Sus scrofa: one gene and its partners. The protein of the gene in region 1 purifies or fractionates together with the protein of each later gene. This does not show direct contact. Links are inferred from orthologs where the notes say so. Each region holds a gene or a part of one and is shown in the gene's direction. Other genes may lie near its edges.

Evidence for each region.
Region 2: the proteins of MAGEA10 (region 1) and FAM216A purify together in Homo sapiens (affinity purification with mass spectrometry; 3 studies listed by BioGRID and IntAct, counting the BioPlex papers as one, with this or other methods). This does not show direct contact. The link is inferred for Sus scrofa from reciprocal best matches to the Homo sapiens genes MAGEA10 and FAM216A.
Region 3: the proteins of MAGEA10 (region 1) and FOXJ2 purify together in Homo sapiens (affinity purification with mass spectrometry; 3 studies listed by BioGRID and IntAct, counting the BioPlex papers as one, with this or other methods). This does not show direct contact. The link is inferred for Sus scrofa from reciprocal best matches to the Homo sapiens genes MAGEA10 and FOXJ2.
Region 4: the proteins of MAGEA10 (region 1) and QSER1 purify together in Homo sapiens (affinity purification with mass spectrometry; 3 studies listed by BioGRID and IntAct, counting the BioPlex papers as one, with this or other methods). This does not show direct contact. The link is inferred for Sus scrofa from reciprocal best matches to the Homo sapiens genes MAGEA10 and QSER1.

Annotation. Positions count from the first base shown.
Region 1 is NC_010461.5:123,400,303-123,403,343, reverse strand, and holds MAGEA10 (melanoma-associated antigen 10), read left to right. Parts: upstream 1-1,428; 5' UTR 1,429-1,434; coding exon 1,435-2,541; downstream 2,542-3,041. UniProt on the Homo sapiens protein: Not known, though may play a role in embryonal development and tumor transformation or aspects of tumor progression.
Region 2 is NC_010456.5:31,848,710-31,852,874, forward strand, and holds the start of FAM216A (protein FAM216A), read left to right. Parts: upstream 1-1,325; 5' UTR 1,326-1,531; coding exon 1,532-1,623; intron 1,624-3,223; coding exon 3,224-3,264; intron 3,265-4,165. Other genes in the region: GPN3 (GPN-loop GTPase 3), read right to left, coding at 740-787.
Region 3 is NC_010447.5:63,060,443-63,064,796, forward strand, and holds the start of FOXJ2 (forkhead box protein J2), read left to right. Parts: upstream 1-1,535; 5' UTR 1,536-2,672; intron 2,673-4,354.
Region 4 is NC_010444.4:27,987,927-27,991,491, reverse strand, and holds part of QSER1 (glutamine and serine-rich protein 1), read left to right. Parts: coding exon 1-1,778; intron 1,779-3,565. UniProt on the Homo sapiens protein: Plays an essential role in the protection and maintenance of transcriptional and developmental programs.

The DNA of each region.
Region 1 (3,041 bases):
GTCAAGATGAGGACTGGGAGTCAGGGTGACGCCCCTGAGGCAGTGAAAGACTGAGGGGAGCCTGGACTCTAGGTCACAGATCTCAGAGAAGCCTGTCCCGGAAGTCACCCCTGGGAAGCCACCCCAGGGTGGGAGTGATGAGCACGTGACCACGTGTCCTGACTTCCTGACATCCGGGTCTCAGACTGGGGACCTGGTATAAAAGGCGGGGCCTCCAGAGGGCAGACAGTGAATTCCAGGTCCAGTTAGGAGTTAGGGTGAGGCTCCTGAGGGAGGACCGAGCAGCTCCTGGACCACAGGTCAGAATCAGCCTGGGGATTCCCCGTGGGCGGGATGAGCACACTAGGCCTGTCCTGCCTTAGGCAGCTGCAGGGTCTCAGAAAGACTGGGGACCTGGAATCAGGGGTGGAGCGCCAGAGGGGGAGGGGCCCAGAACCTGCTGGGAATCAAGGTGAGGCTCCCGAGGGAGGACTGAGGGGACCCTGAACCCCAGGTCAGAGGGACCTCAGAGAAACTCGCCCCTGCATTCTACCCTGAGAGGCCAGAGGGCAGGATGACCACAGGCAGAACTTCCTGACATCCAGGTCTCAGAGAGACTGGGGACCTGATGTAAGGGGCGGGGCCTCGGGTGGGCAAAGGGGAGGGTCCTGTGCTGCCTGAGTCAAGGTGAGAACCCTGAGGGAAGACGGAGGGCAGCCTGGACCCCAAATCAGAGGGGATCTCAGAGACGCTCACCCCGGAAGTCCGCCCTTCCCACCCCCCAAGGCAAGATGAGCATGTGCCATAGTCTATACCCAAGCTGTCCCTTCCATTCCTCTTAAAGGAGCTCCAGGAACCAGAAGTGAAGGCCCAGGCGTGTGGCCTGCGTCCTCAAGTCACAGAGTAGGAGGCCCAGGCCGTGCAAAGGCAAAGGTGAGCAGAGGAGGGAGCCCTGAGGGGACCACCCACCCGGCAAGAGTCCTGTCCACCCCTCCTACCAGCACTGGGGGCCCCAGGCTGTGCCACGGTCTACACCCACAGTGGCCCCTCAATTTCTCTTACAGGGTCTCCAGGAACCAGAGGCGAAGGCCCAGGTGTGAGACCCACGTCCTTGTGTCACAGAGCAGGAGGCCCAGGTGTCCAGGTGAGGTGTGTGCCCCGAGTGTGTACCTAAGGGCTCCCCATCCCAGAACAGAGGGGACCCCACAAGGCCAAGTCACCCCACCCTCAGGGAGCCCCAGAACCACAAACTGCTCTGGCTGCAGCATGAGGAGCCACCTCACCTCCTCGTTCAGGATCACAGGGGACAGGCTGCCCAGGAGGAGAGCCCCTGTGAGGCCTAAGAGCTCCCCTAAGGAGAAGACCTGTAGGGAGGTGGCTACGGTGCTCAGCCCAGGCCCCTCGTCCCCATCTGTCACCTGCCCACATTCCTTTCAGCTGTCCGGCCCTCGCATCATGCCTCATGCTCCAAAGCGACGGCGCTACATGCTTGAGGAAGGCCATGAAGCCCAAGGCGAGGCACAGGGCCTCGTGTGTGCACAGGCTCCTGTGGCTGATGAAGAGGATACTTCCTCCTCCTCCTCCACCTCCTCCTCCTCTTTTCCCTCCTCTTTCCTTTCCTCCTCCTCTTCCTCTTGCTATCCTCTCATCTCGAGCACCCCAGAGGAGGCTTATGCTCTTCCTGGGACCTCGAGTTCTTCACAGAGCCCTCAAAGTTCCTGTCCCTCCCCCATGGCCGTTGCTTCTGCTCCATTGAGCCAAGCTGATGATGGCTCCTGCAGCCAAAAAGAGGAGGGTCTGAGCACCTCACAGCCTCTGCCAGACACTGAGTCCTTTCCCAAAAATGTGATTGATGACAAGGTGTCTGAGTTGGTGGAGTTTCTGCTCCACAAGTATCGCACAAAGGAGCTGACCACAAAGGCAGAAATGCTGAACATCATCATCAAAGACGTCCAGGGCCACTTCCCTGTGATCTTTAGTGAAGCCTCTGAGTGCATGCAGTTGGTCTTTGGCATTGATGTGAAGGAGGTGGACCCCAGCAACCACTCCTATGTCCTGGTCACCACCCTAGGTCTCACCTATGATGGAATGCTGAGTGATGAGCAGAGCATGCCCAAGACCGGCATTCTGATACTTATCCTGAGCATAATCTTCATGGAGGGAGGCTGTGCCCCTGAGAAAGTGGTGTGGGAAGCACTGAATGTGATGGGAGTGTATGCTGGGAGGGAGCACTTTATCTATGGGGAACCCAGAGAGCTCATTACCAAAGTGTTGGTGCAGGAGGGCTACCTGGAGTACCAGCAGGTGCCCAACAGTGAGCCCGACCGCTATGAGTTCCAGTGGGGTCCCAGGGCCCACATGGAGACCAGCAAGATGAGTCTTCTGGAGTTTTTGGCCAGTGTCAATGGAAGTGACCCCAGATCCTTCCCAGTGTGGTATGAAGAGGCTTTGAGAGATCAGGAAGGGAGAGCCCAAGCTAGAATGACCACTACAGATAATACTACTGCCATGGCCAGTACAAGTTCTAGTGCCATGTCCAGCAGCTGCTTTTGCCCTGAGTGAAATCTAAGGCAAGTTCTTCACTTTATGTTTTACGAGGTCAGTCAATGATCTAAGCAGTACAGGGCCAGGCTGGGGATGAGGGACTGACTCATAGTGAAACATTTTTGTGTTTTTTTTTCCATTAGGGTAACTTAGAAACTAATTTTTTTTAATTTTTGGCATTCAAAAATGTTGTTACTTAACTAATTTTTTTTTTAGCTTCAGAATCTAAGTTTAAGAATGACATTGGTCACACATTTATTGTTGTTTATTTAGTTTAAGAGAAAGAGTTTTGCTATTTTGTAAAATAAATTAGGAAGCCTTCCATTTCATTTGTAGTCTGTAACAAGATAAGATGGCATTAGAATAGGGATTTACTTGGAAATGTGAAATAACTTAGCAGTGAAGAAAAAAATTAGAGTGATTTCTTTTTTAATTCTCATAATTTTTAGTCCACTGTTCTATAAAATTAAGATATATACTTGGGTTTTCTTAGCTTATCCAAGAATGTATAAGAAATT
Region 2 (4,165 bases), on another chromosome or scaffold:
CAGATGCGGCTCACATTCTGTGTTGCTGTAGCTGTGGCTGTGGCTCTGATTCGACCCCTTGCCCGGGAACCTCCACATGCCGTGGGTGTGGCCCTAAAAAGACAAAAAAAAAAAAAAAAAAAAAAAAAAAAGGAAAAGAAAAAAGTGTTGAAGATGTACTAGCAACAAACTGATGATTTCACCTCAAAGCAAACTAACAAACAACCGAAAATCAAATTTCTCAATGTATGATTCAATCAATGTTCATTAATGCCAGGCCCATGTTTCTCCTAAAGTTGCCTCAAATACCAGAAGTCCACATCTCAAGCTCTGAGAAACAGTAATTAGCGAGACCCCGCCTAAGCTTTCTGGGTTAACGACAGGTACAGATTCTGCGGTTAGTCAAAATAGATTCAAATTCCCGCCGTCACTTACTAGCTGTGCGATCTTGGGCAAAAACTTAACCTTTCTGTATCTCATTTTCCTTGCCTGCAAAACGGGAATAATACACTTATCTTACACGGTTGTGGAAATGTTTTTTAGCACAGGACCTGGGGCTTAAGTATGCAATAAAGATTAGCAAATATCATTAACCCCCTTTCAAAACAACAACAAAAAGGAAACCGAAGCCCAGGCTACATAAGCGAGATGCCCAGGGTCTCAGGGCCCCCAACACACACAGCCATCAGTTCCTCCCTCTGGACCCAACCTTCCTTCCTTCCTTCCACGAACCTCGACTTTTCTCCCGCCAAATCCTCACCTTTCCGCTGCCAGCGGGGCCCATGACCAGCTGCGCATAGCGAGGCATGCTGGCTTCCCCGATTCCTGGCGCCGCCACTCACACAAAGTCTGAACACCACACTCCCTTCAGCCTTCGCGCGACGCCCCCTGAGTTCCGGGCACAAGACGTACAAACCAATCGCAATTCGAATTCTTCTTGCGCCTTCTGTTTTGCCACACCTCTGATTACGGAGCGTCCCGAAGGCCAAATCCCGCGTGAAACGCGTTCTGCGAAATGCCCGGGGAGGTTTTGCGCATGCGCAGAAGTATTTGGCGGACCTCCGGTTTAGAAACTGGCGAAGTCTGGTTACCTTGGTGATAACGGACAACTGATAACCCTCTGCATCCCTAAGCCGGGTGCTTTGGTCCTGGGTTTGCGTATTTATGTTTGACCTATATGGTGACCCTGAAGATCTGCAAATTTGCAGAGGGTCTGGAATACTAAGGTTGGAGGGCAACTTTCATTTTAGAGGGAAGGTACATTTCCTTTCCGTGACGCATCCCTTCCACAGAAAGATGCAAACGTACAAACGCGCAGTCAACTGAAGAATACCCGCCCCTCCCCCAACTTAACTCTAGGATCGTGGATCTGCCCTCCCCGCTCTCCCGAAGCTATTCGGGCACTGTCCGGATTGCATCGGAGGGGGCTAGAATCTGGCGTCCGCCTCTTCATCCCCAATATTGCCGGGTCTGACGCACGCGTGCCGACAGGGGAGGGGAAAGGGGAAAGCTTCTCCTGCACGCAGCTCGCGGGCCGGGCACCTGGGAGGAGATGCCTGGCCAGGGTCCAGTGTCTGACTGGACGGAGTGCAGTGCTTCCGCAGAGCCTTCCGCAGTGGCCAGGACCGAGGGTGCCTGCGGCGGGTGAGGTTGCCGGGCCCTGAGGGGTTTGGGAGGACGGCGACCAGCCCCTGCTCGTGATCCCCATGTAGAGGAGGGGGTGGGAACTGGTTGCTCTGAAGGACTGGTCCCCAGTGTCCTGAAGTGGGAGGAAAGGAGAACCTTTGCTATGGCCGAGATGGGAAATATGGAAGCCTACGCACAGTTTAGGGGAAGGGCTTCTGAGGGAAGCTTAGGAGGAGGGTTGGTGCAGTGACTGTCTAAACACAGTGACTGCGGCAATCGCCTGGGTGCCTCTCTGCCCCGAGGGGGCGCTACGAAATCTGCTGGAAAATTGGCCGTCTGGCCGTAGTATTTCTACAGAAAGGAGTTGGCTGGGGGCACCATGGGAATAGAGGCTCAAACGAGCGCTTCCAAATCAATAAATCTCTTACCTGTGTGTGACATTAGCCACCTTTATGTTAAACTGGGATTCATAATCTGCGACAGATGACTATGAATATTAGAGGCGCCTTGATTTTGACATTTTGTTTACTCAGTAACTCCTTTCTTCATAAATCCATTTCATTTCGAGGAGGTTTTTACTATTATTTCCTGGATGCTGAAGACAATTAGCTGCTGAAGTTACTTCCTCATCCCTTGCATCCATTATTCCCTAAAAGTGAGAGCTGCCCGGTATTCCTCTCAAGCCCACAGTCATGGCTCCTGTTGCACCCCATGGCTGTCTTAATATACTTGGTGGATTGACGAATTTTAAAGATGGGATAGGGTCATGTGTTTCTTTTCTATTTTTCACAGTGCTTGGTGAAAGTTTTCTTTTTTAAATTTTTTTATTATACTTGATTTACAATGTTCTGTCAATTTCTGCTGTACAGCAAAGTGACCCATATATATATATATATATATATTCTTTTTCTCAAGGTAAAGTGGTGAAGTTCTGGATCCTAGTATATCAGGGGATCAATGAACTCTTGGTCACTGAATAAGTTGCAGGAAGAGGAAAGGGAGAGTGTTTTGTCTTAATTTGAGAATAGAAAAAATGAACTTGTACAAAATTAGAAACATTGCAGACCATCCTATCACTTCCAGTACACCTTAAATTACATACAACAAATAACAAGATAGTCCTTTCCACACCCGAATTACTTCATTAAAAGTAAAGAATATCATGGGAGTGCCCGTCCTGGTGCAGTGGTTAACGAATCTGACTAGGAACCATGAGGTTGACTCGGCTCAGATCCTGAGTTGCTGTGGCTGTAACGTAGGCCGGTGGCTACAGCTCCAATTGGACCCCTAGCCTGGGAACCTCCATATGCCACGGGAGTGGCTCAAGAAAAGGCAAAAAGACAAAAAAAAAAAAAAAAAAAAGTAAGGCCAAATCTGGCTTAAAGTAAATCCTTTATAGTATTGTGAAAATCTCAGATAACCCACTTTGAAAAAGCCTGGAGTCATTAGGATATAACCAGAATTAGAAGAAAAAAATTGCAAGACATTATTTTTGATGAAAAAATGAAAACTAAAAAGCATATGCAGTACTGTCCTTTTTTCATTTAAAATACTTTATTTAATGCTTATAAAGCCATCAGGTATTGCATATTATTTACATTCTTTTTTTAAAAAACAGATCAGCTGGATATTCTTACTACCAGAATTCCAAAGGAACTGGTGAGTAGAGCACACAAATTAATACCTATCTGGCATAGGCTGGCAGCTGCAGCTCCAATTTGACCCCTAGCCTGGGAACTTCCATATGCCGAAGGTGCCCCCCTAAATATACATACATATATATATGTATTTTTTTTTTCACAGAATAATCCAGCAGGTTGTTTCCTATTAAGATATCTCACATTAAGAGAGTACTTTAAGGAATTCTCATTGTGGCTCAGTGGCTCTGAATCCAACTGGTATCCATAAGGACTCGAGTTCAATCCCTGGCCTCACTCAGTGGGTTAAGGATCCAATGTTGCCATGAGCTCTGGTATAGATTGCAGATGCGGCCCGGATCCTGCATTGCTGTGGCTGTGGCGGAGGCCAGCAGCTACAGCTGCGATTTGACCCCTAGCCTGGGAACTTCCATATGTCAAAGGTGTGGCCCTAAAAAGAAAAAAAAAAAAGTGTACTTCAAAATACCAGTGAATCTGAAAAGAATTGTTTATAACAGATTGAAGGAAAAATTCTAAATTGTACAACTTCAAACAACATAAAATATTTCTCAGTGCTACTATTTTCCTCTCACTTGAAATAATGGCTAGAACTGCTGGAGGTAAGAGGTTAAGATAGGCCCCCAAAGACCATCTAATTATTTTTTTGTGGGGGGGAGCAATTTCAATTCAATGATATATAAACTTGAATTCACTTTACTTTTCCTTGGAAAATTTATATTCCTTACAGTTACCTAGGAAACATACACCTATATGTATATTACTGTTTATTTCATATGCATATGTTTGTTTTAAAATGGAATTGCTGAGGGAGTTCTAGTTGTGGCTCAGCGGGTTAGAAACCCAACCAGTATCCATAAGGATGTGGGTTTGATCCCTAGCCTCACTCAGTGGATTAAGGATCT
Region 3 (4,354 bases), on another chromosome or scaffold:
AGTTTTCACGTCTGTAAAATAGGTTTAATAATAGTGCCTATGGCTAGAAGAATTAAATGGGATAATGCACGCAGAGCTCAATTCCTGGCATATTGTAAATATAATGTAACATATATATATATATATATATATATACACACATAAAATATAGTATTTTGTATTTAGCCAGAAGACAAAAAAAGACTTAAATGTGAAATGTAGTGATCAAGCCCTAATCTTAAGTATGCAGTCTTTTTTTTTTTGAGCAATTGAAAAATATTTTATGGGTGATATTTTTGCTTTCTTATTATTTGATGTGATAGAAAGTAGAGTAGTTTGAGACAAGTTTAATAGGCCGGAGGATGAAACATATAAGAATTCGCAGAGGAATAACATGATTCCAGGAGGAAAAATGGAGGTGGTCTGCCTGGCTTACCTTCTGTCTCTAGCGCGCGCGGGGGAGGGGGGGATTATTATGCAAAGGGCGAAGAACGAGAATATTCTACACTATGTGACCAGGATAAGATATGCTATATGATTGTGAAGTGAACAATATTTTGTATCCTTTGTACACCGTACAGTTTAAAAAAGCATTTTCAGGAGTTCCCGTCGTGGCTCAGTGGTTAACCAATCCGACTAGGAACCATGAGGTTGCGGGTTCCATCCCTGGCCTTGCTCAATGGGTTAAGGATCCAGCGTTGCCGTGAGCTGTGGTGTAGGTCTCAAACGAGGCTCGGATCCGGTGTTGCTGTGGCTCTGGCGTAGGCCGGTGGCTACAGGTCGGATTAGACTCCTAGCCTGGGAACCTCCATATGCCGTGGGAGCGGCCCTAGAAAAGGCAAAAAGACACACACACACACAAATAATAATAAAAAAGCATTTTCACATAAATGAACTCATTTGATTCTCACAACAGTCTTGCCGGCGTGGGCCCAGAGAGTATCAGGATCCCCTCTTGCTGACCAAGATTCCATAGAACAAGGGCTTTGCTCAAGTTTATAAAGCAAGATTTTGTGATGTTTAGTCTGGAATTTTCTCTGTTGCACGCCCATTTATCCTTTTCTAAATTCATTCAACAAACATTTATTGAACTCCAGGGTGACACCAGGGTAACATATTAACTTCGCTCCAACCCCATAACCCCGTGTAAGTTATCCCAGGGGGAAGAGAAGCCCGTCAAAGACATTCCCGAGAAAACCGGAGATCTTCATCCGTATATAGCAGACAATGAGAAAAGGTCAGTGTGACAGAATTAGTGTTGAAATGAAATTGACAGTTCTTGTGGCGCGAACCGGGGAATCTCCCGACAGACAGCAGTGGGTTGTCATCCAGGGTGGATGCGCAGGCTGTATCCGGCCAAGTGGCGGGGTGGCGGCCGGAGGGGGCGAAGGCGGCACGCGCCGGGTGCCGCGGGAGCGCGGGTGCGGCGGCGCGGCTCCCCGGGCGCAGCGCACCCCCGGCGGCGCGGCCCGCGGCTCGGCGCCGCCCGCTCCTCCTTAACCCGCGCGGGGAGGCGGCGGCGGCTGCGGCCCGGCGGGCGGGGGCGGGGGAGGGGCGCCGAGCGCGGCGCGGAGGCCGGGGAGGAGCCGGGGCCTGCAGCGGAGCCGAGCCGAGCCCAAGCCCCAGCCGAGTCCTGACACCGTCCGTCCGCCTCCTGGCTCCCCGGGAGCCCCGGACTGGCCGGAGCCAGAGCGGTGGCGGCGCGGAGAGCCCCGCGCGCCGGAGCGAGCGGAGCGGACTGGACGCGACTGGAGGAGGCGCGGCCGCCGCAGTAGCCAGTGACGGGCGTCGGGAGCCGCGGCCTCCCGGCCTCTGCTGCCCAGGCCAGCTCCGGGAGAGCGGGGAGTACGAAAACCCCACCCTCCGGGGCACCCCAGGAGAAGAGGCGGGAGCGGGGACGCAAGCCACCTCTCCCCCGGCCGGAGAGAAGACCCTTCCCACTAGGGCGAAGGAAAGAAGAGAGACCCCTCTAGGAGCGAGGAAGATCCCCGGACTGGCCCGGGAATAGAGCTCCCGAAGTGGAAAAAGGGGTGATCCTTACCCAAGGAAGCGGAGTGGGACCGCCCCGGCGTGCCTCCACTCCTCCCGACTCACTCTCCGCAGTAGTGGACTTTGGAGGCAGAGAGAAAGGGGGATATGCCTGTGGAGTAGGCGCCCTCCATCCTATCCAGTCCTCACTGGGGAGAGGATTCCTTTTGCTCGGAAGCAGAGGACACTCCAGGGAAAGAAGGGGAGCCGGCTTTCCGCCTTTCAGGAGAGGGAAGAACTCCCCCAACTTCCTTGTACCTAGACAGTGGAACAGGGCCGAGCCCCTCCGCTCAGATCTCCTGCGGACAGAAAGAGCCCTCCGCTCCCGACAGGATCAGTTTGGGGGGGAGGGGGACTCCCCCAAGGGGGAGGAGACAACTCCTGGTTGGGAGAGGCTCCTCCCCTCCTCCCCAGGGTAACCGGCCCAGTGTGGGGGGTGTGCCACCTTCCACAGGTAGGACCTCCTTCTCCTCCCCCTGCCCCTCCCTCCGTGCCTCATCCTCGGGGGACCCAGTTCCCCTCCCCAGCTTGGGAGGCTCAGCCAAGGACAGGAAGAGCCACTGAGGATGAGAATCTTCATCTGCCTTTGAAGAGGGGCGTCCCTCCAACCCCAAACTCCAGTACCAGGTGGTCCCCTCCTTCTGCTGAGGGAAACTTGGAGACAGGTTAGTGCTTTCTTTCCTCTTCTCTCCCTCATCCTTAGGCACCAGTGGGCGTCGGGGGCTGAGATGGTGGCTCTTGGGTTTCATTACTGGGCAAGGTAGAGAATCTTCTGGGAAATGTGTTCTGAAGCTAACTGGATCGAAACCCTCATCTTGCTGCAGGAGCTCCGAGCAATGGGTTTCTTTAGTGTTTGGGGGCTACAAGGATGGGAGTCATCTGAGGTCCCCAGGGAAGTGTGTGTTTTCATGCCGAGGGCAAAGGGATGTCAGGAAACACCAGCATCTTCAGCACTCCCATATATACAGTGTAGGTATGATGGACAGACACATCCCAGCCAGTCTCTCGTGCCACCCTCCATCCTTGGGCCTCTTCACAAGGAGGGTGGGCCCTCACTAAAGTCATGCTGGCATTTCATGGCCTGGCCTTGTCTGGAGCTTCCATTGGTATCACATTTTCTCATCTGTAACCCTAGATCCCTTTATGTCCACCAAAGCTGTGGAATCTCCAGCCCACTGTGATTACCACCCCCTTGACAAGAAAAGTAGTTGGTCTCCACTCACCCGGCCCGACACCAAGAGGCCTCTTTCATGACATTCCTATTCCTGGCTGGAAGCATGCCTCTACCAATAAAATCCACAAGCAAAATGGGGATCCCATCTCCCAAGGCAGGAAGAAAGGGTACCGGGGAACCCCAGCTCCTGGGTTGAAGTTCCTCCCTCATGCTGGCTGGGTACCACTGCCCCAGGGCACTAGGCTGCTCCTGTCCTTTGCTGACAGTTCCTCAGGAAAAAGCAGATCCAGGAGACAGGAGACGAGGAGAGGAGGGTTGCTGTTCTGCCTCCTTCCAGCCTTCCATCGAAATAAGTTGACCAACCAGGGAGATTTGATCCTTGAGGAGTTTCCTTTCAGAAAAGCACCTAATAGTCTTGTCCTCTCCCTTCCTGTTTTTTGTTCAGTCCTGGGGCTCTGGAAACTTGCATCTAAGTTTTCGTCCAGAAAATAATAGTGGGAAGCACCTCAGCCCAGAATCTTCAGAAAAGGCAAGAAAAAGGTGCCAGGAAATCTGTCTAGCTGAGCCTGAGTTATAGGTTTAGTAACGCTCTGCCTTTCGACCTGCAGTCCCTAGCCAGGTGCCCACTTTCTTGCCTTGCCACTAGGAAGTACCTTTTCTCCTGCAAGGGGTATTAGTGAGTCCAAGTGTGAGGTTTCATCTTATTTGGGTTTTCATGTTCCCTCCTTTCTCTTTCTGGGCATTTCTGGACTGCCCGAGTCCCTTCCATTTGTTCCTGGAAGCGACCTCTTAACTCGTGGTATATGAGACAGGGCTCTAATCCAGGTTTGTTTGGCTGTCCCATGAACGATGTGCATATGTTTCTTAATTCAGGTGGATGTGGCTCTCTCCACATCCGTGCAGGCTGTGGGGAGAGGCACACGTGTGCTTTTCAGACTCAGCCTCCAGTGACTCAGAACTGTGTGTTTCTGGTAGGCTTCTAAAAGCAGGTACCCCTGTGCGTGGATGTGGAGAGGGTGCTGATAAGGAAAGCCTTGGCCTGTCCTGGCCATCTCGAGCCCTCGTGAATGGCTGCCTGAAAGTCACCCCACGTAGCAGGGCAGCCCAGTCTCAGGCTGGGACCCCTTCTTCTAGGACTAATAAGAAAGCTGTACTTTGGATACCTCTGGTCTA
Region 4 (3,565 bases), on another chromosome or scaffold:
GAATACTAAAGACCTAAACCAGCAGCATTCTCTTATCCAGAAGGTACATGAAGCCAAGGCCCAGGAGCAGCATGATCAAATAATTAATACATCATCTCAGATTCAAATTCCAAATCATGCCTTAGGGCATGGCCATCAAGCATCTCTTCCTAATACACAGGTCCTTTTAGACTCTGCCTGTGATTTACAAATTCTTCAGCAGTCAATACTGCAGGCAGGTTTAGGACAAGTAAAGGCAACTTTACAAGTGCAGCGTGTTCAAAGTCCTCAACAAATAGTACATCCTTTCCTTCAAATGGATGGTCATGTTATTCAGAGCAATGGGGATCCTTCTCAGCAGCAAATCCATCCTCAAAATTCTGAAATTATGAAAATGGACCTCTCTGAGTCTACAAAACCATTACAACAACATCTGGCAACAAAGGGCCATTTTAGTGAAACAAATCAACATGATTCAAAGAATCATTTTGTGTCTCTTGGATCAATATGTTTCCCAGAGGCAATGCTTCTCAGTGATGAAAGAAATATTTTATCAAATGTAGATGATATCTTAGCAGCTACAGCAGCAGCTTGTGGAGTTACACCTTCTGATTTTACCAAGTCAACTTCAAATGAAACCATTCCTGCTGTTGAAGATGGTGATTCTAAATCTCATTTTCAGCAGTCATTAGATGTTGGGCATGTGACTTCAGATTTTAACTCCATAGCAGCTACAGTAGGAAAGCCACCAAATATAAATGATATTTCCCTAAATGGAAATCAAGTTACTGTAAACCTTTCACCAGTACCTACTCTTCAGTCAAAAATGACTCTTGATCAACAGCACATTGAAACACCTGGTCAAAGTAAACCTTCTAAACTAACTTCGCCAGTGATTGGACCAGGTCATGAAGCCCAGGAGCAAAGTTCTGGCCCTTTCAAGAAGCAGTCTGCTACCAGTCATGAGTCTGAAGAAGACAGTGAAGTTCCTGTTGATAGTACTTTAAATAACAGAAATCAAGAGTTTGTTTCTAGTAGTAGAAGTATAAGTGGAGAGAGTGCTACTTCAGAGAGTGAATTTACTTTAGGGGGTGAAGACAGTGGTGTGTCAGTGACCCCAACTAGGAGTACACTTGCACTGTTGGCCATGGCCCAACCTGGGGAGCCAGTCAGTGTCAAGGTTGAAGAGGAAAACCAAGACTTAATACATTTTAACCTTCAGAAGAAAAAAACTAAAGGAAAAGGGCAAACTAAAGAGGAAGACAACAGCAATCAGAAACCACTGAAAAGACCTGCCCAAGGCAAACGCCAGAATCCAAGGGGAACAGATATATATTTGCCGTATACTCCCCCTTCCTCGGAAAGCTGCCATGATGGTTATCAGCATCAAGAAAAAATGAGACAGAAGATCAAAGAAGTAGAGGAAAAGCAGCCAGAAGTCAAAACAGGATTTATTGCCTCTTTCTTAGATTTTCTGAAATCTGGGCCCAAGCAGCAATTTTCCACTCTTGCTGTACGAATGCCTAACAGGACTAGACGACCAGGAACCCAGATTGTTCGTACGTTTTGTCCCCCACCACTTCCAAAGACTGCATCTGTAACACCCGCACCTTTAGTATCTGAAACCGGGGGTCACAGTCCATCAGAAAAAGTTGATAATGAACTTAAAAACCCAGAACATTTATCTTCACTTTCTTCTGATGAAGAGGATCCTGGAGTATGCAGTCAAGATGTTTATAAAAGCTCCTCTACTACTTTAACTACTTTGGGTGCTACTTCTGATAGAAAGAAGAAAGCAGGTAAAATTTTAAAATTTAGATTCATAGTTAGAGCTTTCCGCTTTTTTTTTTTTTTTTTTTTTTTCCCCTGGCTCCAGACCAAGTTTTAAGCTTTCTTAGCTTGAAGCAGGTCTGCAGATTTTCATGACAAAGTACATAGGTAGCTATCTTGAGACTTTTTTTTTTTTTTTTGTCTTTTGTTGTTGTTGTTGTTGTTGCTATTTCTTGTGAGACATTTTTTAAAGGCTCCTTACCTGTAGGAAAGTTCTGGATTTGAGGTTGAGTAGTTCTGTTGGGGAGGGGGTGGCTTTTTGCCACATGAAACATAATTTGCATAGTATGCTATCCAGATTTTTCTAATCTGGGATATCTTAAGATGGTTTATAGATACGAAGTATTGTTTTGAGGGCCCTGTTATTGTATAACCTGGCATATTTTCTTGCTACAGCAATTTTGCCTAAACATTTTTACTCTTAAATACAGGCTATTTTGTGTGTGTATGCAAGTTAATATAATTAAGTTAAAACTTTAAAATTTTTGTGCTGGCTCCAAAATATATGCCTAAATCTTTGGATGTGTGTTTGATTTTACTCTGTAGTTAAGGGAACATTTAGAGGAACTGTTTTGAGAAGCACTGCTTTATGTAAGTAATTGACAAGTAGTATAAAAGTTTCTATTTTAGGAGCTCCCATTGTGCCTCAGCAGGTTAAGAACTCGGCCTAGTATCCATGAGGATGCAGGTTCAATCCCTGGCCTCATTTGGTGGGTTAAGGATCCGGTGTTGCCACAAGCTGCAGTGTAGGTTGCAGATGTGGCTTGGATCTGGTGTTTCTGTGGCTGCAGCATAGGCCTCAGCTGTAGCTCTGATTCTACCCCTAGCCTGGGAATTTCCATATGCTTCAGGTGCAGCCCTAAAAAGAAAAAAAAAAAAAGTTACCATTTTAAAGAATATTCTAAGAAAAAATATTTATAAAAATGCCAGGAACTAGTAACGGTGTTGTGAGATGTGCATTATATCTCTAATATACAGATGATATAACAGAGTAAATGAGCTAGTGACAACTGAAATCCAAATTCAGGTTGGTCTGTTTCTAGGACTTGTAGGAGCCTAGCTCTTTTGTATGAATAGAGTGGTGCTCTATGAGTTAAACCTTATTTTGTGATACACTTTTCTGCTTCTCTGTGGACTTGAGACTACCTTTTTTACTACTAAAGTGATATGAAACAGCTGGTATCGCATATAATCTATTAGCATAAATGTCTGCTAAAACGTTTCTAAAGAACTCTCATTTTGTTCTATAGAGATACTAGCATAATGGAAAACCATCTTAAGAGTCAGAGATATTATGGATGTGGCTAATCCTAGGAAAGTTTTACACTCTTCTCCCTCAATTCAGAGTGCTTTGCAATTACTGTTATATTCCCTCTTGCATACCTAGAACAAACCTTTTATAATCTATTCTAAAACGTGAATCTAAAACTAGTTTCTTCCAGACAGCTGTTACTATCCCATTTTTAGTTCAAAGCATCACCATCAACCCAAGCTTTATGAATAGGTCGTTGAAGTTCTCTACCGTTCCTATTGCCTCCTCATCTGTGAGAGCTCATGCCATCTTGCCTGGCCTGTTGCAACAGATTTCTAATTAGAATCCTTCCCTCCAGTCTCAGGCACCAGTCCATCCTCCGCTAGTCATCACATGTATCTTTATAAAAAAAGAAAACCAATTGTTAAATACTTTTTGGTGCTTCATGGGAAAAAATTAAAATAATGTGTACAAGTTTTCCTTCCCACATTTCATTTTCTTGCT